Linked DNA regions of Caenorhabditis elegans. The protein of the gene in region 1 purifies or fractionates together with the protein of each later gene. This does not show direct contact. Each region holds a gene or a part of one and is shown on either strand. Other genes may lie near its edges.

Evidence for each region.
Region 2: the proteins of clec-80 (region 1) and gst-24 fractionate together in Caenorhabditis elegans (co-fractionation; one large-scale study listed by BioGRID). This does not show direct contact.
Region 3: the proteins of clec-80 (region 1) and gda-1 fractionate together in Caenorhabditis elegans (co-fractionation; one large-scale study listed by BioGRID). This does not show direct contact.
Region 4: the proteins of clec-80 (region 1) and Y37F4.1 fractionate together in Caenorhabditis elegans (co-fractionation; one large-scale study listed by BioGRID). This does not show direct contact.

Annotation. Positions count from the first base shown.
Region 1 is NC_003282.8:2,822,204-2,829,198, reverse strand, and holds clec-80 (C-type lectin domain-containing protein), read right to left. Parts: upstream 3,836-6,995; 5' UTR 3,824-3,835; coding exon 3,723-3,823; intron 3,674-3,722; coding exon 3,552-3,673; intron 2,883-3,551; coding exon 2,628-2,882; intron 2,570-2,627; coding exon 2,490-2,569; intron 1,759-2,489; coding exon 1,565-1,758; intron 1,517-1,564; coding exon 1,439-1,516; intron 1,382-1,438; coding exon 1,183-1,381; 3' UTR 1,130-1,182; downstream 1-1,129. Other genes in the region: Y54G2A.37 (C-type lectin domain-containing protein), read right to left, coding at 5,701-5,893, 5,954-6,031, 6,101-6,294, 6,338-6,417, 6,493-6,540, 6,720-6,767, 6,932-6,995.
Region 2 is NC_003280.10:13,608,865-13,614,111, forward strand, and holds gst-24 (glutathione transferase), read right to left. Parts: upstream 2,503-5,247; 5' UTR 2,431-2,502; coding exon 2,292-2,430; intron 2,107-2,291; coding exon 1,616-2,106; 3' UTR 1,579-1,615; downstream 1-1,578. Other genes in the region: gst-20 (glutathione transferase), read right to left, coding at 802-861; gst-15 (glutathione transferase), read right to left, coding at 2,967-3,463, 4,135-4,279.
Region 3 is NC_003281.10:11,023,620-11,028,976, forward strand, and holds gda-1 (CMP/dCMP-type deaminase domain-containing protein), read right to left. Parts: upstream 2,948-5,357; 5' UTR 2,923-2,947; coding exon 2,688-2,922; intron 2,380-2,687; coding exon 2,261-2,379; intron 1,822-2,260; coding exon 1,669-1,821; 3' UTR 1,620-1,668; downstream 1-1,619. Other genes in the region: putative voltage-gated potassium channel subunit kvs-4, read left to right, coding at 32-57, 138-167, 463-533, 1,434-1,550; Y48A6B.8 (Wsv161), read right to left, coding at 3,715-3,784, 3,835-3,993, 4,047-4,151, 4,207-4,279, 4,331-4,442, 4,487-4,738, 4,783-4,896, 4,950-5,050 and 1 more.
Region 4 is NC_003279.8:10,855,636-10,862,622, reverse strand, and holds Y37F4.1 (BAR domain-containing protein), read right to left. Parts: upstream 4,537-6,987; 5' UTR 3,978-4,536; intron 3,815-3,977; 5' UTR 3,632-3,814; intron 3,112-3,631; 5' UTR 3,076-3,111; coding exon 3,004-3,075; intron 2,943-3,003; coding exon 2,664-2,942; intron 2,377-2,663; coding exon 2,238-2,376; intron 2,191-2,237; coding exon 2,004-2,190; intron 1,963-2,003; coding exon 1,854-1,962; 3' UTR 1,825-1,853; downstream 1-1,824. Other genes in the region: Y37F4.5 (START domain-containing protein), read left to right, coding at 1-237, 311-431, 482-648, 855-1,018, 1,116-1,364; Y37F4.2 (Sec-independent protein translocase protein TatA), read right to left, coding at 5,003-5,103, 6,517-6,588, 6,631-6,688; Y37F4.4 (Signal recognition particle-docking protein FtsY), read left to right, coding at 6,824-6,987.

The DNA.
Region 1 (6,995 bases):
TTTACTCTCTGTGGCTTCCCACTATATTTTACTCTCTGTGGCTTCACCAATTATTTTACTCTCTGTGGCTTCCCACTATATTTTACTCTCTGTGGCTTCACCAATTATTTTACTCTCTGTGGCTTTACCAATTATTTTACTCTCTGTGGCTTCACCATTTATTTTACTCTCTGTGGCTTCACCATTTATTTTACTCTCTGTGGCTTCACCAATTATTTTACTCTCTGTGGCTTCACCAATTATTTTACTCTCTGTGGCTTCCCACTATATTTTACTCTCTGTGGCTTCACCAATTATTTTACTCTCTGTGGCTTTACCAATTATTTTACTCTTTGTGGCTTCACCAATTATTTTACTCTCTGTGGCTTCACCAATTATTTTACTCTCTGTGGCTTCCCACTATATTTTACTCTCTGTGGCTTCACCAATTATTTTACTCTCTGGCTTCACCAATTATTTTACTCTCTGGCTTTACCAATTATTTTACTCTTTGTGGCTTCACCAATTATTTTACTCTCTGTGACTTCCCACTATATTTTACTCTCTGTGGCTTCACCGATTATTTTACTCTCTGGCCTTACCAATTATTTTACTCTCTGGCTTCACCAATTATTTTACTCTCTGGCTTCACCAATTATTTTACTCTCTGGCTTCACCAATTATTTTACTTTACTCATTATTTTACAACTTTCGGGTTTTTTGAAATGAATATCGTAGCTACAGAAACGGTTGTACACTCATCTGAAAATACAAAAAATTTGCAATTTTTATTGCTAGGACACTTTTTGTCTGCACAAATATGAGCAACCAAAAATAATTTCAAAATTTTTAATGATTAGTTGCATATTGAAAAAAACAGGAATATTTCAAATTTCAAGTTATTTCTGTGTATTAGAACAAAATTGCAATTGGTATCTAAAATGGCAAGTTTTCTGGTAATGACATATTTTTACGAAGATTTTTTTTTTTTAAACTTCAAATTGATTTTTTTACCAAAAAATGTGGCCTTTTTTATTAATTTGTTTTATCGGGAATATTTCAAATTTCAAGTTATTTCTGTGTATTAGAACACAACTGTGATTGATATCTTTTGATATATTAATATACGCAATTTGGCACATGTTCAATTGGACAGAAGGATCTTTATTTTCTCGGTACACCAAGTAAATTTGGAAAAAATAGTTAAGCTGTAGGTAACAGCTCCAGGAGCTTGCTCACAACAGCATCGGCGTCCGAATCCGACAACGCTGGAGCAGCAATCACATTTGTGTCAATTGAGAGCCCAGGAATTGAAGTGGCTCCACCAACCAGTACTCCGACTACTGTACCAAAGGAGGAGTAGGTGGATTTGATTGTGGTACCACCGTATTCGGCTTCTGGGCTGGAAAATGAGAGCTTATAAGTATTTGGTTGTCAGTCCAATTTCACGAAAACTCACGCAGCTGATATAAATATCATGCATGTTTGATCTGTGACTGGTGGGGTCCAAGAAGCGGCTGCTAGAGATCCGTCGACACTGAATTTCAAACGATTGTTACTTTTAAGGACAATAATCCCCACTAACTCTTTCAGATCTAAATCGATATCATCGTCAGTGCCGTCAATTGGGAACGGAATTCCTCTTAAATCAAAAAAATCATCAGTAGGGTAGTTTTGATGATCATTAAGCCCAGCAGAGTACCCGTAATTGTCAATGTAGCCGGTTAGCATTGTCTTGTCATTCAGTTTGCTAGCGACAAGATGGGCAAAGTTGAAGTACTGAAAAGTTAGTAAATCTCTGATGTATTGTTTTACTTTAGTAACTACATAGTTGAACCCATTAGATTTTTAGCTTGGTGCATCGACCTTTCGACTTTGACAGCTAATATCGCATTTTACTATTAAATGATAGAATAATAACTCATAAATATTTTATCAGTTGATGATACTTTTTCAATAAATTTGGAGGCATCAGACTTTGAGCCTGAGCACACTAGACTTCTAACATTCTGCATCGACCGCTCAACTTCTGTGGCTCATGTTTTGTGTAATTTTAATGCTAGCGAAAAATGTCAAATTCTAAAAATAAAAATAACAACAAATGATCAATAATTTGTTGGGTTGGTAACAATTATTTGATACATTTCACAAGAATCGAGATAAAAAAGGCCCGAAATTGAAAACACTAGATTTCACACCGGTGCCTATCGTTGTTTATTTTTGAGCTATAGCAAAGTTTCTACTATTAGGACATAGCAAAACGAATAGCTATGAATGTTAGTTAAAAGTTATTGAAGAGCCTAGTTACTAGTTTCTACACATGGTGCATCAACCTATCAACTTTGACAGCTCATATCATATCTTATTTTTAAGCTACAAAATATTTTGATCATCAAAATATAGAAAAATCGACAACAAATACTTTTGTTGGTTGATATTTGTTCCCTATTTTAAATACGCTTAAGATATGAACCACCAATGTTTAAATACAACGCTAAAAGATTTCGTACCGCTTTATAAGAATTAATTGCATTTTGATCAATTCCGAGAGACTGTGTGTCATACATAATTAGACATGTTACAGAAGATACTGTAAGTAGGTAATATTTCAAATATTTTCTGACAGTGTTTCCAAGTATTAAACCCACAAGGTTTCGCAGTGGTAGGCACACTAGCTGGGTCATAACTGCAAACGAAATAATTCTTATCAGTACTACCAAATGTGCCCCATTTGGAGTTCGTACTGCTCTGTGCCACATAGTTTTGGCCTAGTTGAGTTCCGAAATTTGACCAGCCGAAGGAACTTTTGTCATCCCATGTCCATGGGCTCCCGGTGGAATTTCTGCTCAAACCAATCCAGAATTGCCCACCGTTGCTGGAGTTGAACACGGAATGGGCGAGGACTGGAAATTTTGGAGTTTAACGTTTTTTTTTTGAATTTTAAGGAAACTTGTTCGAAAATTTTGAATATTTTTTTTTCGCGTAGCTTTCCAACTAAAAAAACCAAAAAATAGAGGCATTTTTGGTTTTTTTTTTAAATTGTTTTTTTAATGTTGAAGCGATTCGAAAAAACCAATAAACTTTTTCATGCTTAAACAAGGTAAATTTCAAATTTGTCTGAATTCTGGCGCAAGATTCAAAATTTTTCATAGAATTTTGTGAACACTTGACGCGAATTTGGAAAGTTTTTAAAACTTTTTAGAATTGTAAAATTTCGAAAACTTCTGGAAAATAAAAACTGTGGTACAAAGAAGGGCTTCTATGATCCCACGCCGCATGTTGTCGAATGTATAGTGCGGCGCGGAACCCCGAACATGTCGGCCGCTCCAAATAACTACCTTTCGTACATCATTGCACCCGCATTTCACGTCCTACTCAGCTGGGAGTCCTAGTTCAAAGTTTAAAGTTTAAAAAAATTGAAATTAAATTTTGGCGTGAAATTCAAAATTACAAAATTTGTACACAAAACTAATTTTTTTTTTTGTTGAAGTCGTGCATCGGGCCAAAATGAAGACACATAGGCAATAGGCAGGTAGGTAGGCAGGCAGGCCCCTAAACCCTCTCTACCCTACCTGACAAAACATTAGCCGTCGACTTATCCAATACCGTAGCCAGAGTGTACCCCGGGTCCGCCTGGTGGCAAAAGCCACGAGCATCCGAGTAGGTGAGCTGTTGAGTCACCAGTTTGTAGCATCTGATTATTGATTTTTTTTTTCTGTTGAAAATTTTGAAATTTAGATTACCTTCCGTTAATTAAATTGTCCGAATCATCACTGCACTTTTGTGCCTGACAATGAGAAATAGCGAAAAATGAGGAAAAGGTAAGTAAAATGAGATTTTTCATGACAAAATAAAACTGAAAAATTTTTCAGAAAAAGTAATAATATTGGGTGATAAGTAACAGGAAGCATTGATAAGAAAATTTGAAATTTGGAAAATATGGGTGTTGGCCGTAGACTTTAAGTGCTCGACGATGTCAGTGTCTCGGAAGTCCAATAAGTAGATGCCTCTGTAGTACGCGGTGCATCTGTAGACGACGCCAAGTTAGTGGTTGGCATCAGTGGATAGTAGGAGCACACGAATTTCAGTTCTGTTTCACTGTTGTAGGCGGTCCATTTGGCATTCGTCACACTTTCGGCCACGTAGTCTTGAGAATTTTGATAATTGAAATTGGTCCAGCCTAGGGGAGTTCCGTCATCCCATTTGTATGTGGAACTTGAGCGGCTTAGACCAATCCAGAAGCTTCCCTCGTTTGAGCCAAATGCGGTGACGGCGTACGCTGAAAATTGGATTTGTAGTCTACCTATGGCCTTACCTACGAGCCTACCTACCGGTTTACTTGATGCCTATCTCATGCCTACATTCTGCCTACCTACTTTATATCTGCATACCTACGTACCTACTTCATGACTCAGGTCTACCTATGCGTCAGCTCTACACCAATTTCACATACCTACTTTATGCCTACCTACCATATGCTTGTCTGTCTTTGTACCTACTTTATGCCTACATCATGCCTGCTCATGTATATTATGCCTACCTTATGTATGCAAACCTACGTGCCTATTAGTGTACTTTCGTGACAACATCAGGATACCTCCTAACCAACAGCACTTGACTACATCACGCCTATTTATCTCAGGCCTGCATCCCCCCTATGTACCTATTTTGTGCCTAGATCATGCCTGGATACTTTATGCCTACCTCATGTAAGCAAAACTACGTGTCTATTTTTAGCCTAATGGTGTATTTTCAAACCTACATCATGCCTAAATACCTACAAACCCACCGCACCCGATTACATCACATCTACCTACCTCATGCCTGCATACCTTTGTACCCACCTCACGCGCCTACCTTGACACCTACTTCATGCCTACCTATAACCACTCATTAACTCTCAAAAACCTTACATGCCAAAAAGCTCGCCGTTATTTGATCCGAAACAGTTGCCAAATATGATACCACGGAATTCTGGTAACGACACCAGGACCGGGCGTCCTGGTAGGAAAGTTGTTGGTTGACAAGTTTATAGCATCTGAAAATACACGAAACATACGGTGTGCCATCCAAGTAGGCACGGCCTGCCTGCCTACCTACGCGCCTACTCACAATTTTTGTGCCTACTACTCTCAAAGTACACTTGAAAAAACACAATAGTTATCAGATTTTCAACTTTTTGGAATTAAAAAAAATATTTTCGTATCTCGAGCTTGAAACATTTATTTTAAGTTAATTTTTGCATTGCATATATTTAAACAATTTATTTCTCAATTATAGAACTTAACAGCTTATTTTACAATTTTCCGTTAAAATACTAACCTCCCGTTGATCAGTCTATCTGAACTATCCCAACACTGTTGGGCAGCAGCTAAAGAAGTAAAAAATAGTAAAATTAGTAGAAATTGTTTCATTTTCAAAATTGCTGGAAGGGATGGTAATATTACGAGAAAAGAAAAAAAGAAAGAGGAATTGATAAGAAGCTCGAAAAAGCGGGTTAAAAACCACGATAGAGTTTAGTTAGGGCAGTCAGAGGAAAATTCCTCATCGCACTAGCTACGTGCAAATTGAGAGCCAAACAGTACTTTGAAATGTAATGGAACTTATGGTTTTGTAAAAATCAACTGATGGCCGAACTATGCTCTTTTAGCGGCCACGTATCAAAGGTTGGACTGAATAGTATAAACAATTTTATTCCAAAATAGTTTTACAGGCTTAAACTCAAAGCAAAAGCTCCAGGAGCTTGCTCACAACAGCATCGGCGTCCGAATCCGACAACGCTGGAGCAGCAATCACATTTGTGTCAATTGAGAGCCCAGGAATTGAAGTGGCTCCACCAACCAGTACTCCGACTACTGTACCAAAGGAGGTGTAGGTGGATTTGATTGTGGTACCACCGTATTCGGCTTCTGGGCTGGAAAATGGAAGTTTCAGCAAAAAATCAGTTTTTCAGTGCAATTTCACAAAAACTCACGCAGCTGATATAAATATCATGCATGTTTGATCTGCGACTGGTGGAGTCCAAGAAGCAGTTGCTAGAGATCCGTCAACGCTTAAATTTTTAGAACAATGAACCCGGAAAATGTCGGGCGCACTTCAAAACTGCAACTTTAAAACTAACTCTTTCAAATCTAGATCGATATTATCGTCAGTGCCGTCAATTGGGAATGGTATGTTATTCAAATTATTATAATGATCAGTCGGATAATTCTCATGATCATTGAGGCCAGTAGAGTATCCGAAATTATCAATGTACCCGGTTAACATTGTCTTGTCATTCAGTTTGCTTGCTATGAAAATCGCAAAGTTGAAGTACTGAAAAATATGGTTTGAATGGAAATATGAAGGAATTTAGTACCGTTTTATAAGTAGAAATCGCAGAGGTGCTAATTCCAGAAGATTGGGTGTCATACATGAACAAGCAAGTCACACTGGGTTCTGGAATTGTATTGATAGACAATCAACTTAAATTTGTGCCTTTTCAACTTTTCAAGAAAAGTATCTGAAACTCACTTGATTTCGTTGTAGTCGAAGTTTCAATTGTTGATGTAGTAACATGATCTGAAATTTACCATTCAGATGGTTTTTCAGACGGACAAAAAAGCCTAAAATCTGGAAAAGTTTCACATGCTTGCCTACCTACGCCTATCGTATGCCTGCCTATCAACGCGCCTACTACATGCCTCTCTACCTACAACTCTATTTAACTACAATTTCAAAGTGCAAGCTCCCAAACTTACTTGGTTTTGTAGTAGTTGAGGTTTCAATTGCCACAGTCGTGAATTTTTCTGAAAATATTTTTTTGTCTAATTTTGACCGCTAATATCTCGGTTTTACTTAGTTTTATCAAAAAACTTTAAACTATCAAAATATGTATCATTTATTTCTCTACAAGTATGAAGTTAACTTTTTTTTTTGATATCTAGCAAATGAACCGAGATATGGCGCTTACCATTCGGATCATAACTGCAAGCGAATGGTAGAGCCACCTGCCCGCACATTGTCTGCCACTTCCC
Region 2 (5,247 bases), on another chromosome or scaffold:
AAAATACGGGGGAATTTTTCGCCCGAAAAAATGTGACGTCAGCACGTTCTTAACCATGCAAAATCAGTTGAGAACTCTGCGTCTCAACTTCCCGCATTTTTTGTAGATCTACGTAGATCAAGACAAAATGAGACACTCTGACACCACGTGGATTGCGAAAAGGCGTGCACCTGTAAAGAGTACTGTAACTGGAAACAGGCGGTAGTATTTTCATCGATTTTTCACATTGTTTTGCGAAAAAACACTAACATTTTAACAAATCGACTCTTTGAAGGCGCACACCTTTTTTCATTTATCAAAAATTGCCGTGTCGAGACCGAGTACTGTTGCAAACGCGGCCCAAGTGGTGTCATAGTGTCCCATTTCGGTTTGATCTACGCAGATCTACGAGAATCGCGGGAATTTGGACGCATTTTTAATGGTTAAGAACGTGCTAACGTCACATTTTTTTGGGCAAAAAAAATTTATTCCCACATTTATTGTAGATCAAACCGTAATAGGACAGCCTGACACCACGTGGTGGCCTGGAAGCAAAGTGGCCTAGAAAAAGCTAAAATTCGGCCAGCAGTATTCTATGTCATGGTTTTAGCCGAAAAACTTCCTAGGTTGCGGATTTTCAACAAAAAAAAACGTACTCACTTTGGACAAGTGGCCGAGTTTCCTTGATTTCTAGGCCACGTTGAAAATGTCGAAAAATCGTAAAAATAACATTTTCGTGCTGATCGTGCCGTGATTTGCTACGTTACCGAGTTTTAGAAAAAACTCGGCCACCAATTCAATTTTCTAGGCCACCACACTAACCTGTCTAGAAACATCTCCCAATCCTCGTCCGTTAAAATAATAGAACTTGTACTCGGCCATCGTACAAAAGAGCAAGCACAATCACAGACAGTCAACACACAACTGATAGTCGTCTGCCAGTGTCCCCCTGTCCGCCCTTTTATACTTCCCATGCCACGTGTCTCCGTCTCTTTTCTCTTTTCCCGACGGGGGGAAACAACGTGGTTTATGCGATGGCGGCGGGGAGGTCACTGCCATCTTGATATTGATCTCAGAAGATAATTCGATTTATTTGTAATTGGATATGGCGGCGACGATTCATGGTCTTTTGTAGGAAAAATGATGACAAACATGACTTTTTTGTTCGAAAATATGGGATTTCTAGAATGATCTCTGTCGAAAAGTTCAAAAGTTTCATAGGCTTGCAGGCAGGCATAGGCAGTCTTGTAGGTATGCAGATAAACATAGGTTACCTTGCAGGCATTTAGTCAGGCTTGTATGGAAGGCATGCAGCCAGGCATAGGTTTATTTGACGGCAGGATGTTTCTTTTGATCGCAAACTCCCCAGGTGTGACTTACGCCTTCTTTGTGCCTACACCCATGCCTACTGTCTATGTTAGACCCTTTACGTAGGCCACAGACTGCCCGCTTGCCTTCAAGGCAAACTACACCTGCCTCGTGCCTAGATAACTTGCCTTCTAACAGACATACGTTTGATCTACTGCCTACTGTCAAAACCATCTTTTTTAGGTGGTAGGCAGCCTGAAAGCGTGCCTACCTACCTTAGAATCACTCATTATGATATAATAATCTTTATTAACATACACATAATATATCAAACAACAGAATCTGGTCTCGACGAGTTGTGCTCCTTGATCTCCGGTATCTCATTAACCTTCTCACGGAGCGCTGCAAGCTTCTGCTCCTCTCCGTGCTTATCAAACACTCCCAGCATCTCCATAGTTGTCAAAATATCAGCTATCACCAGATCAGCCCAAGTTACACCATCTCCGACTAGGAATCCTGACTTGCTCTTCTCAAGAATTCCATTAAGAATTTTGAAGAATGTATCCCGGGCCGGCGCGAAGACCTCCTTTTGGATTCGCTCGATTTCCTCCGCATTTCCGGATCTTTGAGCCATGATGAGTTGGCGTAGTGGGGTGACGAAGTCTTTGAATTGATCTACGATTGCATCCACCCACGCTTCTTCCTCTGATGTTTTTCCAGCGTAGCCGAATTTTTTGGCAAGGTAGCGGAGAATTGCAGCGGATTGGGGGATTTCGAAGCCATCGACTGAGAGGAATGGGAGCTGACCAAATGGGGTTTCTGGAAGATTCCTGGGTTGGGATTCAGACTTAGGCTTAGGTTTAGGCTTTCGCTTAGGCTTAGGTATAGTCATAGGCCGAGGCATAGGCTTAGGCTTAGAGTGGACCACCGTATCTGATTTTTAAAAAATTCTCAAAATCCGTGACAGTTATACAAATACCACTAAAAATGTTTCAAAAACTCACTTGGCTTCAACGCTCCCCACTCTGGAGTTCCATTCTCAATACGAACATCCTCAAACTCGACGTGAGCCAGCTTGAAGAGCTGCCGAGCCGGCTCAGCCCATCCACGAAGGTTGAAATAGTAGAGCTTGTATTGTGGCATTGTTTGTTGATGGGAGATGATTGAGTAGTACTTTATATACACAAAGTCGTTTCGAAAATCTCCGAAATTGAGGGGAGGGAGAGTGAGAGAAATAGAGAAATAGAAGAGTGGTTTGTGTTTTTGCGAAGAAACACTGGTCACAAAACAAAAAGTCAGAAAATTGGAAAAATTTTTGAAAAATTCAGAAAATGCATCAAAAGCTGTTTTTTTTTCAAAAATTCAAAAGTACTGAAAAATCATATGAAGTGCTTCATTTTTCTTTTATAAAACTGTTTAGCATGATAAAATATACCAAAAAATATTAAATAAAATTTGCTAACTTGTACGGAAGATTATTTTAAAAAGTTCAGAAAATACATCAAAAGCTGTTTTTTTCAAAAATTCAAAAGTACTGAAAAATCATATGGAGCCCTGTTGCACTTCTCGCACTATTATTTCAAAAAAAAGTATTTCGGTAAAAAAATATCCGCATAAAATACTACAATATGTTTATTATCTTTTATCACAGTTTTTAAAAATTCAACGCGATTCAAAATTTAGACTTCTGTATCCATTCTCGTCGCAATATGATCCTCCAAATCTGGGGTTCCATAGATTTTCTCCTTATACTTTTTCAAATTCTGATGTCCTTCATCATCATCATCGATGGCTCGAAGCTTCTCCAGACTGTGCAAATTATCAGCTATAACTAGATCAGCCCATGTGAGCCCATCACCAACTAAATAACCTGACTTGCTCTTTTTGAGAATTCGATTGAGAAGAATAAAGTAGACATCTCGAGCTGGATTGAAAATCTCGTAGCGGATTTTGAGGATTTCTTCTTCTGGTTTCCCGGCCCTTGTGGCAAAAAGGAGTGTTTTAAAAGCAACGGAGAAGTCTTTGAATTGGTCGACAACGGCGTCCGCCCACGCTTCTTCTTCTGGAGTTTTTCCGGCATAACCAAATTTCTTGGCAAGGTATCGACAAATTGCAGCAGATTGGGGGATGTCGAAGCCATCAACGTTGAGTACTGGGAGCTGACCAAATGGGGTTTCTGGAAGTTGAATTAATTATGGCAGGTCTTCTTTGTAGGCACGCTTGCCTACATGCCTACGTCTGCCATCGTGTGTTCATACTCTCAGTTTGTAATCGAACATTTTATACTTAACACAAATATTTGAAATCTGCGCTAAACAAGAAGTCACAATGGAGAGCACGTAGGCAGGCAGGCAAAAAGTAGGCGCGTACGCCTGAAGATCTTATGAAACCCTAAAGCTGGATGTAGTGACTTTCTATTTATACGAAAAAAAAACAGAAATATCTAATCCTTTCTACAAGCTACAAACTACAAACTACAATATACAAACTACAAACTACAATCTGCAGACTACAAACTACAACCTATATTCTACATAATACGAATTACGGACTACAAGTAACAAACTATTTTTTTGACAAAAATTAATTTTTCAAAATACTTTCGTACCAAAAAACCTTTTACAAACTACAAACTAGCACCTACAAACTACAAACTACAAATTAAAAACTACAAACTACAGACTACAAACTACGAACTACAAACTACAAACTACAAAAAGATTTTTCCCCGAAAGCCAAGAAATTTAATGTTTTTTAGTTCAAACTTTTTCAAATTAAGTGTGGCATCAGTAACTACAAACTACAAACTACAAACTACAAGCAACACATTTCACTTTAAGAACTTACTGTCTCTCATTTTCTCCCATTTCCCTTCAGTATCGGCCATTGGAATCCGAATATCATCGTATGGAGTATGCGAGAGATGGAAAAGCTGTCGAGCCGGCTCAGCCCATCCACGTAGATCAAAATATGTTAGCTTGTATTGTGGCATTTTATTTCTGGAAGATTGAAAAAGGTGGATTCGAAAATCGACAAAATTGAGTGGAAAAAGCGAGGTCTCTAACAGTCTAAGTCTATTTATTTGAGGCTTACGTCTCTAAGCAAAAATATAATATGGGAATTGGAAATCGGTGGTCTTTGAGCATTGTGATAAAAAAGAGCACAAAATTTAAAATTTCAAAATAAAAGAAAAATAAGAGAAATAAAAACGATTTTTTGGAAATTTACATTTTTTTGCAGGACACGTTTCGAAAAAAACCCCACTTTGAAAAGAGAAGAAGAGCTTTTTCAAATTTTTTTTGGGTTTAAGTCACAGAAAATAGGTCGTAATAACCAAATATAACTGTCAAAAAATTTTAAAAATTTTCTAAATTTTTAATAATTTTTTTCCATTTGAAAAAAAAAACGTCCGAATTAAATTTGAATTCCCGCGCGAATGAGTGACGTCATTCTATGCATTTTCGCTTTTTCTGGCTAATTTTGGAGGGGTTTCTTGATATGTCTTCTACATTTGATTTAAATCGCCGTTTGTCAATTTTTCAAACATTCAATTTTCTAAAACAAAAAAAATATAAAGAAATATTAAATTTCCGTTTTTTAGACCAATTTCTTCCATGTTACGGAAAAAAGTTTTCAATTTGAAAAACAATTGCCGAATTTGTGTTTTAAATCAAATATAGAAGAAAATTTTAAAAAAAAACGCATAAATTTAGCCAAAAATGACGTCACTCATTTGCGCGAGAATTCAAATATAATTTGGGCATTTCTTTGATTTTTGAAAAATTGAAAAAAAAAATCATTAAAAATTTTTTTAAAAACATATTGTTTGGGCAATTTATTGTAAAAAATCACAAATTTTAAAACTCCTCTAAAATGGTTCATTTTGAATTTAGTTAGAGAACTCAAAATTGATCTACAAACACTAAAAAATTGCCCTTTTTCAATTTCCAGTGGTTCCAA
Region 3 (5,357 bases), on another chromosome or scaffold:
TGAAATTTTTTGAAAAAAAACTGATATTTAGGTGTATTGTCACCATGACAACAGTCGGTAAGATATAAATGTTGTAACGTACTTTGTTTCGGAAATTTTTGAAAATTTTAAAATAAAATATAAAACGAAATTTTCAGGGTACGGGGACCTGACTCCGGTTACAGTTCGTAAGTTTTTTAAAATTAATTTAATTTTAAAAAATTCAGATTTCTTGTGATTTTGTTCCCTTGGGCATATATTTTGGGCACTATTTTTCAAGTTTTGGGTTACTGTAGCGCCAAAAGTACGCAGTACACCAAACCTCACGACAAAATGCACAGATTTTTTAAATTGCGCAAAAAAAGGCTGGTTAGGGTAAAAATGTCGGTGAGCACAAATTTTGACATGAAAAATCTTTAAAAACTATTTAAGCCTAGTTTTTTATTCAATTTTCACTAAAAAAAAATTTTTTTTTAATTTCAGCTGGAAAACTGGTGGCAACTGGGGCAATCGCGTGTGGAGTCTTGGTTTTAGCATTGCCCATCACAATTATAGTGAGTTTTGTGATTTTTCAGAGTATTTTTTTTATGTATTAGCTTTTCCAACAATGTACTTTAGGCTCAAGTCGCATTCTCACTGAAATCGCGAGAACGTGAGAAAATGGCAAAACGTGTGTTTTTTGATGAATAAATGTGCATTTTTCACTCACACAAGCTTATGCAATAGTGATTTGAGAATAAAATTTTGATAGAAAACAAAAACCAAATTAGCTCCGCTGGTGTGTCATTGAAAATTTTTTTTTTGAAACTCTTGTATCTTTGCAGGTATTTAATTTAAAAAATAGTTTAGAACTAATAAAATGTGCAAAATTTTGTGTAGAACAATTTGTTAGTTGATAACTTTTCAGTAGAATCAATCGTTGTTGAGATATGACGATTTTAGCGAAGTTACAGGTTACTGTAGCTCTGGAAGTACGCAGTGCACCGAATCTTACGACAACATGCACAAAACTTTAAAATTGTGCAAAATATGCTTTTTGGGTAAACACGTGGTGTCAGAGTGTCCCATTTCGGCTTGATCTTCTTAGATCTACAAAAAATGCGGGAAACGAGACGCAGAGTTCTCAACTGATTTCGCATGGTTAAGAACGTGTTGACTTCACATTTTTTTAGGCAAAAAATTCCCGCATTTTTTGTAGATCAAACCGCAATGGGACAGATTGGCGCCACGTTTTAAAACCTGTGCGTTTTGCCGTAAGATTCGGTGTATCGCGTACTCTTAGGGCACAAGTAACCCGTAATGCGTCATATCTCTGAAAAAACAAAACTTTGAGCACTTTTCTTTACTAAAAACGTTTTTTTTTCAATTCTAACCCTGCACATTACAAGATTTTCAACAGAAAATTTGATAGCCAGGAAACAAATTTTCTTCTAATTTTTTTTTTTAATTTTCAGGTCGATAACTTCATGAAAGTGGCTGAAACTGAACGTCCGGCGGGTGGAAATCGATATCGAACATCTCAATACCCAAAAGCTACAAAATCCGAGCAAATGATTTTGAAAGTTACCTAAAAAAAGTTTGAAATTTTGCCAATTTTGCCAATTTTTCCCCAACCGTCCCAATGTATTTGTCTTTTTATATGTTTTTCAAATTTTATTTAACGAAACAATTTTCAAAAAAATACTCCAATTAATATTCTGTCTTGTCCGGTTTGTTGGACCACATTTGGAATGGGAGTAGGTAGTTGTCGGCTGCCAAATGCTCCAATTTTCGGATTTCATCGCTTTTCGGGTCTTTTAGGAAGTCGTGGAATGCTTTGTCGTCGAATCCAATCTCGGCCGCCTGGAAGAACTTGTTTTATTTGGAAAAGGTTTTTTTTTTTGGGTTACTGTGTCACCGAAAATACGCAGTGCACCAAAGCTTACGACAAAATGCACAGTTTTTTTTTAAATTGAACTGAAAAAAGGTGCAGAATTCGATTTTTTTAGTAAAAAATTTTGAAAATTACTTTTTCCAAGGGTTTCCACAAATTAATGAACTTGAGAAAATGCACAAAATTATGGATTTTTACAGGCAATTTCTAGATTAGGTCTATAACTGGTTTGAACAGATTCGGTAAAATTTCAAAAGTTTGTGATTTTGCCGTAAGGTCCGGTGTATTGCGTACTTTTGGTGCTACAGTAACCCAAAGTTTGAAAAATAACCCCGAACGTCACTAAAATTGATAAAAGCTCTTAAAGAGACAGTAATAGTGTAAAAAATTAGTTTTTATGAAAATCACCTGCTGAGCAGTTGCTCCGTAGTAAATTGCGTCGAATCGAGCCCAAAGGCATCCGCCCATGCACATTGGGCATGGATAGCAAGATGTGTACAAAATATGTCCAGATAGGTCAAAAGTTCCTGAAAACGTGAATTTCAATTAAAAACTTATCGAAAAAAAACGTCGAAAAAATTTAGCATTTTTTAACAGAAAAATAGTTAATCGTTGTTTTTTTTCAATTTTCAAAAATAATTTTAAACTATCTAACTTGTAAAATTATGTGAAAAAATTTGCTCTAATTCGAGAAAAAATTCTGCAACTTTTTTTTTGAAAAAAAAAATCCTAAAAATCGCAAAAAAATTTTTTAAGAAATATAGGAAATCGAGGTTGTAAAATTCAAATGTTATGTCAATTTATCACTAGATGCTCTAAATATTCGTGTGCCTACCCAATGCCTTGCAGGCATTCTTAATAGCAGTCATCTCGGCGTGCATTGTCGGATCCTTGGTGACCAGCACCATATTGTGGCCTTTTGCGACCACTTTCCCGTTTGAATCAACTACAACCGCACCGAATGGTCCACCATCTCCACACTCGACACCTCGACAAGCTTCTGCGACAGCTTCGGCCATGTGCTCAGCGTGATGGGGTGGGAGAGGCTTATCAGAGGCGGATGGGCTCATTTTATAGTAGGAGTTGGGGAAGGTTCTGAAAAAAAATTAGTAAGGTCTGACGAAGAAAGGAAATTTTCGAGGTGAGCAGGCGGGTTTTTGTTGAAAAAACTCCCAAAAAAGTAAATAAAAAATTCTAAAAATTCAACAAAATGCAACAAATTTTTCCCCCAAAAAACCCAAAAATTCGCGTCGAAAGTGGCAAAACGTCTTTGAAACAGGTCACGATCATCATCGTCTTATCACAAAGTGATCCCTTATCAGCGACGAGCTTTTCCACCCCCAGCTGCCCGAGCCAACCACGTGAGCTCCGCGAGCACTTTCTTTTTTTTTTTGGTTTTTCTGGTATGATGTCTGTTGTAAGATTATTTAATTGATAAGAAATTAAAAAAGGTTTTGATAAGAAAATTTGTGAGAAATGGAAGAAAATTGAAAATTTATGGGGGCCTAGTATCAGGTGAGAGAGTGGCAGGGGAAAGTGCAAGAGGTGGTAGATCAAATAATTAAAAACTGAAGCTTTTGCGGGGAACTCGGCATTCACCGCCAGCTTCTTGCCCAAGTTTCACCCAAGAAAAATTAACATGGATTAGAAGCTGGCCAAACTTGGGCAAAACTTGGGTAAAACTTGGGCTAAACTTGGGCTAAACTTGGGCAAGACCTTGGTGATTATAGATGCGAATTATGCCGCGCTTTTACTTTATTCTTTAGACGATTTCCTGTGGAAAATATTTATTTAAGGACAAAACATGAACAGGGTTAACAACAAAAATCAATTACAAAAAAAAAACAACGAAAAATTAAGCTTCAGTGGGTGGAGTCTTTGACCGATCGTCCAGCAGCGGAGACATCATGCTCATTGCGTTGACCGGTTGCACTGTAATGAAAATGTATTGGTTTATCGATTAAAAGTATTGAGTTACTTACAATCTGATAACTTCTTCTGGTGACGTTTCCATCCTCTGATGCTGTTCTCTGAACTTTCGAACCTGTCCCCACTTGAGATGATGCTCGCAATAAGATGGTTTATTGCAGTTGAATAGTGCTCCTTTGGCAATATCAAAGTGATATGTTCGAAGATTGTTCCTGAAATCATATCATTTTTTTTTACATTTTACAATTTTTACGAGATTTCTTACATTGCTTTGCCAAGGGCTTCTACTGCGTTCTTGAACACTGTGATTCTTTCGTCCCTACGGCGCTGAACCTCAAGTTCTGCTCCTTCTCCAAGCGTTTTGATGAATCTAGAAGAAATGAAATGAATAATTCAAAATTGTTTAAAGTTGGTTCATGTCTTACTCATGCTCCCTATCAATCGAACCGTATGACAGCTCAACCGGCAAATAAACTCCAACAATATCGAATGCGACTTCTGAAAAAAACATGATTTTGTGATTAGAAATTGTTCACATCTTAAACGCACCAATAATCGCTGTTGTCACTTTTTGTGGTAACTCTTGAAAATGTCTATCAACACGGCGAACACAGCTTGGTCGGTAAGTAAATGCCCAGATTTTATAAGAAGGCTCCAGCATCTGAATTGAATTTATTATTTTTATATATCAAAATGTCAACTTACAGTTTTCAAGGCAACCATATAGAAATTTGAAAGTTGCGAGACGGCATCACCTCCAATCAAGAGTTCAGAGTTATAAATATCTGTGAGATTACACGTAGGAAACCCGTCAGCTTGTGAAATTGTGTGGTTCATCGTAAGTGTTCGTTTCACGATACATCCAGCGTTCAACTGCTTTGAAATTTTCGATGTCAGGGTGTGCACGTTTGCTGCAAGTGCGGTGTAATTCCCATCCTTAGGATCCTGCATTTTAAACTGAAAAAAGTATTAGGATATGAAATTGATTAATTACGGCCTGCCATCATCATCTGTGCAATTTGAATAGACTCTTTCTCGTCTTCTGTAGATTGTCTGAGAGCCTGGACGAACTGTAGGATCGAGAAGTTTGGACGAGTTGTATGTTTACAAAATTCCTTAAAATTAAGATATTAAGATTAAATATTTGGATATTTTGGATATTTTGCACCTCTATCTGGATCTCTGAAAGAGTTCCATTTTCTAATCCCTTCTTCACAACGTTGCCCATTTCCATAACATCTTGATTTCGAACCGCTGATTCCAGTTGCTCTGAAAATTACAATTTGCTTTAAACTCAAGATTTAGTTTCAATGTGACTTACCAATCATAGTTTTCTGGACCGCTCTGTTTTGTAGATGCTGAAAAACATCAAATCCCGCGGAGGTACTTGATCTGTCTGTGCTGTCCCCGGTTGCCTCATTGCTTTGTGAGCAACATGTTCCTTCACGAAGTTTCTGTTTTCGATAGGCTGTGCGCCCAGCCTTTGAATCAATTGTACCAGTTTTTGCGCGATTATTTGTCAGTACAGAATGTACAGAATGCTCTTTAAGGAATGGCGAGCACGAAATTTCACTCT
Region 4 (6,987 bases), on another chromosome or scaffold:
GAGCAGAGATACGAAATGTTGCCAAGGCAATTCAGCAGGCATATGCCATACAAATTGGTAAATCTATTGCTGAACAGGAGAAAGGAACTGACGAATATTGCCATTCTGCAATCATTGAAGCACCGAATTCCAGAAAATGGTGTATTATGAATACTAATACGCAGACGAGGAAAATATTTGATTGGATGGTTCGATTGAAGTGTCGGGTTGTTATTGAGTTGACCAATTTACGCGGTGGTAAGTCCTGTTTTGGCTTATAAGCTTAGACTTAGACTTAGGCTTATAAATAATTGAATTGAATTGTTTTCAGAAGAAGGTTGCCCTGAACTATCGCTAGAAGTGAAGGAACGTGGACAATTGATTTACACGTCAAAACAATTGAAATCGAAAATTCCCGGTTTATCAGTGTATAAAGTTCGAAGGATTGAAGAGTGTGTACATTTTTCCAACAATATTCACAAATTCCTAATTCAAATTTTAGTAATCATAGTTTCCTCTACTGGAAGTGTGAGAATATGCCACATGGATTTGTTTCATTTAATTTAGTTCCGTTTGCGAAGATGTATGAATCAACGTCCAGTGATAACGAGTATGCTAATGTAGGAATTGTTGCGGGAAATGTTGATACAAGAGCGACTATTTTACCATGTTAGTTTTATTTAACGGCTCCGGAAAAATGAGATGCAAGGTTGAAAACACTTGAAATATTAGAAAAATGATTTATTAGCCAATTGCTCTTTATATAATTTTTCTCGTCTTTACTGATTTCTCATTTATTGAATTTTCCGGGTGAGAGGTAGGGAAGCCGGGAACTTTTTTTCCTTTTAGTACCTATCTATGAAATGATTTTTCAGTGATTGACACATTGATGCACATCATGGGAAGCTCCCTGAATTTGGACTCGATGCTTCCGATCGCTGGATCTTGGATGGGAACTCAGAAAACAAGATCAATTGATTTGGTAGCGACTGCACAGATTGAGTTTGCACTCTATGTTTGCTTGAAGTTGGTTGCAGATGTAAGTTCAACATTTTTTTGAAATGAGTCCTATTACTGGAGTTTTACTATCAAGTCTATTGCGGTTCCTAGTTCTGGATTTCATTTATAATTTCCAGGAAAACACGTTCACAATGATCCCGATCGCTGCGTTGGAAACTGCATGGATGAAATCTTGGATTGAGAATCACGACATTTTCCAGAAATTCTATACATCTACGCGATTGACTTGTCCAGATGACAGAAGAGAACACTGGTACAAAGCGGGACTACAAAAATTGGCTGAAATTCGAGAAACTCTGCAGGAACCAGTCGCTTGCAAGTCAAACAAATTGGATAAGAAGAAAGATGGAAAAAAGGAGAAATAATGTCGAGAAGGTTGAAGCACTGAAGTAGACTATAGCACTTGAGAGAATAAAATGTGATTCATTTCTGTTCTGTTTTCAGCGTAAATTTATTGTTAAAGCTAGGGGTGTTGTGTGGGACGTGATGAGCCACCCCATAGCAACCTTAGCTATTCAAAAAACGTTTCCAAAATGCCATTCGAAAAAAGTGAAATAGCGGGCGAATGTTGAGGCGATGGAGAGGGATAGAATCCGGGTTGCGCGGCAATTGCGTTATTATGGGAGAGATCACATAGTTTCTACATCTTTTCACTAAAATTTAATGAAAAATATTGGGAAAACACATCTCTGCCTGAAATTGTAGAATTACCCGTCGGCAATCGCCGCGCACCTTTTGGTGGAATCAGGGGTGCCTTGTGGCTGATGTGGCTGTAAACTGATGACTAAAATCAAATATAACACATTTGAAGTTGCAAGCAATAAAAATCACATAATTCTTTATTCGGACAAGTTTCATTTGGATTTCAATGGCTTTTCTTTACTCTTTGGCAGTGCTCTATCATCAAATATTGGGATAGCTTCAGCAATGGATTTGTGGAAGAGAATTGAATCGTCACGAAACCTTAAAATTTTTTTTTTTCGGGGAGTAGTTCCAAAACTTACTTCAAAACTGCATCCGCGTGTTTCCCCTTCTGCTCATTAATCGACTTATTGATAAAGTCAATAACCTTCTGTCTGCACTCATTCCTCCATGTCTGAGCATTTCCCGCCGCGAGTTCGGCTTGCTCCGTTCGCTCCTTATTCTGCTGACTGATTGCGTCGTCGTAGGTTTCCAGCGAGAGCCAATAAACTGAAATTTTTTATTTAGATTCATATTATAGACCCTTTTATTCTTACTCTTTCGAAGCCTTGCGTACTCCCAATAGTCGACGCCAATGAATTTTGTCAACGCCGACAAGTTTTCCAGATGCCTTTGGACTTGCTTTGCTTGTATGGAATCCAGATTGAGCAAGGTTTGGATAGCCGGTTCTAAGCTCTGAAATTTGTGTCCTTATTATCAGGTGCCATTCCATAAGCCAAAAAATTGGGGAGCCTAAGCCTGATTACCTGGGCTTAAATGGTTTATTTGAAAAGCCTAAGCCTACATTTTAACATTTAAAAGCCCTTAGCCTAAATTGTTAAGCCTAAAAATCCAAGCCTAGAAAATATACCAAATTTCTTAGGTGCAAAAAAGTCGTTCCAACTTCCTCGATTTTCAACAGGATTCGCTCTAGAAACTGAATGTCGCGTCACTTTTCTGATCAATTCTGCAACTAAACTCACATCCATTTCTTTGGGGTCAACCTTCGTACCCAACTTTCTTCCTTTCTGATTTATCGCCTGATACGTCTTTAGATACTGCCCAGCGTACTGATAATTCGTATCAGCTTTCATAAGTTCCTGATTCTCAACGAACATTTGAATCAGTGCCTGATGAAGTCGATCTGCGGCTTCTTTATAAGCTTCAACTTGATTGCAAAGCTTCTTCACGTCATCAGTCATCGAAAACAAGCGATTCTTTTTCTTCAGAATCGACGAAAATACACCGTGATTTGGATGGTCCTGAAAACTCTCTTTTTTTTTCGGTTTCGGATTTCGGTTTCGGAGGCATCCAAAAACTTACAGCTAATCCATAAAATAATTTCTGAGCGATTGGCTTTTCATAGCAGCTACTCGTACTCTTCTTGTTTGCCATTAAAAATATAAAATAACTGAGATTGAGATTTCATGTCTGATAAACAAGTATGTTTGTCATCATAAAATGTGTCACGTAACAAAGCAATTTAAATTAGTAATTTTTTGTTTTATTTTTAACATTTTTTAGAAAATATTTGTGATTGAAATTTTGTGAAAAAATTTGAAATTTTTGCTTACTATTAGCTCCGTGTTTTACCAGTTAAATTGCTCCAAAGGCGGTTTTTGAAATTTTCTGTGGAAACTTTCTATTCAACAAAAAATCTAAACAGTTCTCTGGAAATTGTTCTATAGTTTTATGTATTATATTATTTAAAATTTTTATTATTTTTTTATTATATTATTTTAAAATCCGGGTTTGCAGATTTTATCATTTTTAAGATTAATATAAACCTACTGATTGACAAATTCCAAAATCTTAAATTTGTTTAACTGTACGCTTTTTAACATTTTCATACTTCTTGAACAATTTCAAATCATTTTTCTAGACAAATTTGCATGAGGCTTTCCCTATATATGTATTTTGAAAACTAAAATATAATATAAAGCGTTTATACCTTTTAACTACAGTATCCAAAAACATGATAAATATAGAAATTTGGATAACTTTTTGCTTTATTATGAAGCAATTTCATTCAGAGTCCAAATTTTAATTCTCCCACAATATTCAATCAGTGGCCGCTTACACATTAGCAGTGAAATGTTAGTCAGCAACTACATATCCTGTGGTCTGAGATAATCTGTACATGGAAAAATTAATCTAATTGTATGTAAGTGTCAAATCTTTCCCTCTTTGAATATGATATTTGATCCTTATGATTCAAACCAAAACGTTTCCCTTCTTTTCCTATTCATATGATTCACGCCAACCCCAATATCATTATAATTCGATTAAAAACAGACCTATATAAGTTCCTTCTTTTATATTATATTATATAATACCAATGCTTCCTTTCTAGATGTAGACCGCTATCTTCCCCTTTTCTTCTCTTTAATTGTAATTCAGTATTATATTCTTCTAAATAAATTAATCTCAAGAATTCATTTCTTGATAGTAAGTAAATAAAATAAATAATTCAAGCAGAAACAGACGACTATAGCATGAAGCACCCCCGGAAACCAGCAGAGGATGCAGAAACAAAGGTTGAGCCAAACTGACAGAGAGCATCTTTCCTCTTTCACGTAGACGGCGATTGGCGGAAAAATTAAAATGAGCAGAATGTAACAACACGGGCCGGTTTCTTTCATTTCAGCAAGATAGTGTTGCACAAAATATGAAAAATTAAGTTGTTTGGACAACCTTATATACTGGAGGAGTCTGTTAACGGTCATAAACCGGTGCCACAGCTTATGGTTAAACATCATGCAAAAACACTTTGATTGTGTGCTAAAGCATTTATTGAGTCGTTGCTGTGCCAGACGACGAGAGTCTTACTTTCGTCCGGCGCCAGCAGGCAAGGTCTTTCTCGACTGAGGATGTTATTCTCTAGTCGGCTTATATACTCGTGAGGGCGTGACGCTCCCTGCTCAGAGGCCGCGTGGGCGTTAGAGTCATGCGCTTTATGCACGTCTCCAAAGTCCACTCAGTGCAACATGAGAAGTGATCATAGAACACTTCCACAAGTCTATAAACTTTCAGCATCCGTGAAGATAAACTTTTCTTGATTTCAGATATTTTTGTTTAATAATTTGAACTGTAGATTTAAGAAAAAGTAAAATAAGTGCAAGATTGCTTTCTAAAGGGATCTCGAACTTAACACAATTTGGACTTCTTGCTGAAGTTATGAATTGATGGGTTTACCCTGCAACTGAGCCAACGCAACATTTTCAGTGCAAAAAACACATTTTTGGTTTTTTTTATTTCAAAAAAATATTTATAACTATCAACAATGTGACTAAAATAAACTTATAAATTATTTTTTCAGCAACTAGTAGTCTGATTCAGAACTATCGTCTTTTTCATCCGAAACTTCGTCCGGTTCCGTTGGATTGCCCATTAGCTCAGCTATTTTTCGAATTTGCTCTATTTCTGGAAAAACTTTATTGAATTATTGGGACTAAACTTTTAAAATTAAAAATCAAAAATCAAAAAACTTTTTTTAAATCGATTTTTCTACATACCATTTCTTGAATTGAGTATCCTTTTTCCTACATAGCAAAGCTTTTTAAAAGTTCAAATTTGTTTGTAAACCTTCAATTAAAAAAAAAATTTTTAAGACTAGCGCACAAAGTGCGCTATCCCTTCGGGAGTGGGGATAGGGTTATTTCGCTCTAAAGTATCAACAAGGTAGCTGGCGCAGGTTCTCGGCTTTGCCTCAAACCTGTGTTGGGGTTAAGTGTGTTCACCTTGAAATTCAAAATATATTCCAAAGATTTGTTTCTAATTTAATATTTTGAAAAATCATTTAGCGGCTCCGGCGCTTTAGTTTTCAGTTCCTCTAAGATTAAAGAAATATTCTAAGGAGTTGTTTCACATTGAAATATTCTTAAAAATTATTTGGGCGCTAAGTTGAATCTTCTCTAAGATTAGAAAAATATTCTAAGGAGTTGTTCTAAATTCAAAAATTCCTAAGAGTTATCAGCGCCTTCGGCGCTGAATTTTTCAAAGTTTCTGAAATAAAGAAACATACTAAGGAGTTGTTTCTAATTTAAAACTTTGAAGACTTATTCAGCGCCTTCGTCGCTGATTTGAACTATTTCTAAGATTGATGGAATATGCTAAGGAGTTGTTTCTAATTTAAAAATTTTGAATAATTATTTAGCGCCCTGGGCGCTGAATTTTCAGTTTCTCTAAGATGAAAGAAATATGCTGAAAAGATTTTTCAATTTTAAAAAGAAAATGTAAAAACATAAAAGATATTTCGAAAACTTTGATGAGGAGATGAAATGTTAGTTTTTTTTCATAACTTTTTCATTTTTAAAGCTGGAAAAAAATCTTACATATTTGAATTCAGCGTCAAATTCTGAGTCTATTAAAAAAAACAGAATTAAAATTAAACTTAAACAAACCAATTAACAAACGCTCAAAGTTGAAAAATCAAAAATCAAAAAAGGCATTATTTTTCTATTCGGTCGATTATCTCTGTGATGTATGACTCGATTTTCAAAATTTTTTTCGTCTCTCGCTTAAGAAATCTTCAAGGTTTCATATATTTGGCTCAGAATCAGAATAGCTCAAACGACGGCAAAGTTATGAGAGGGAAAAAAAAAGTTTTTGAACAAAAAATTACAGTACACCTACCGTTTACCACCTACAGTACCCTACCGTTTATCACATACAGTACTCCTACAGTATAATATAGGAAGAAGGCAGAAACATCTCAAATCTCAAAAACCCAATACTGAAGCTGCTAAAAATTCATCTGCCCGGAATCTGAATCATCGGTACCAAAAATTCACATTTTATTATACAAAGTATTTAAAAATTTATACAAAAATTCACCATTTTCCGATAATTTCGCTTTGTTTCCAACAACTTCCACTTTTATTTTCAGATTTCCCTCATATTCGACACCTGAAAATTTTTTTTTCTGAATTAAGAAAAAGTAAAACCCACCACCAACTTTGCTCCAGTTCTCGCGAAAAAGTAGACTATGAATACCTATAAAAAGCATTATTTTCTATTTAAAAGTTGAATTTAATGTGATGAATATATAAGCTTATCTGTTTCCATGACAACCATTTCCTGAATAAAAATTCAAGGATTAAAAAGGAAAATTTAACCGATTTTTACTTGCAAAATAATGAAAATGATGCTCCAAAAAGCACATGAAGTACTAGAAGCACTCGTTCTACTAGGACAAAAACTAAGAAAAGAAGTTCATCCCAACGCTGATGAGCAACAACCAACTGTTCCGGCTCCTGCTGCAACACCAGCTCAAATCGAGCAACAGCCAGAAGTTCCGGCTCCAGC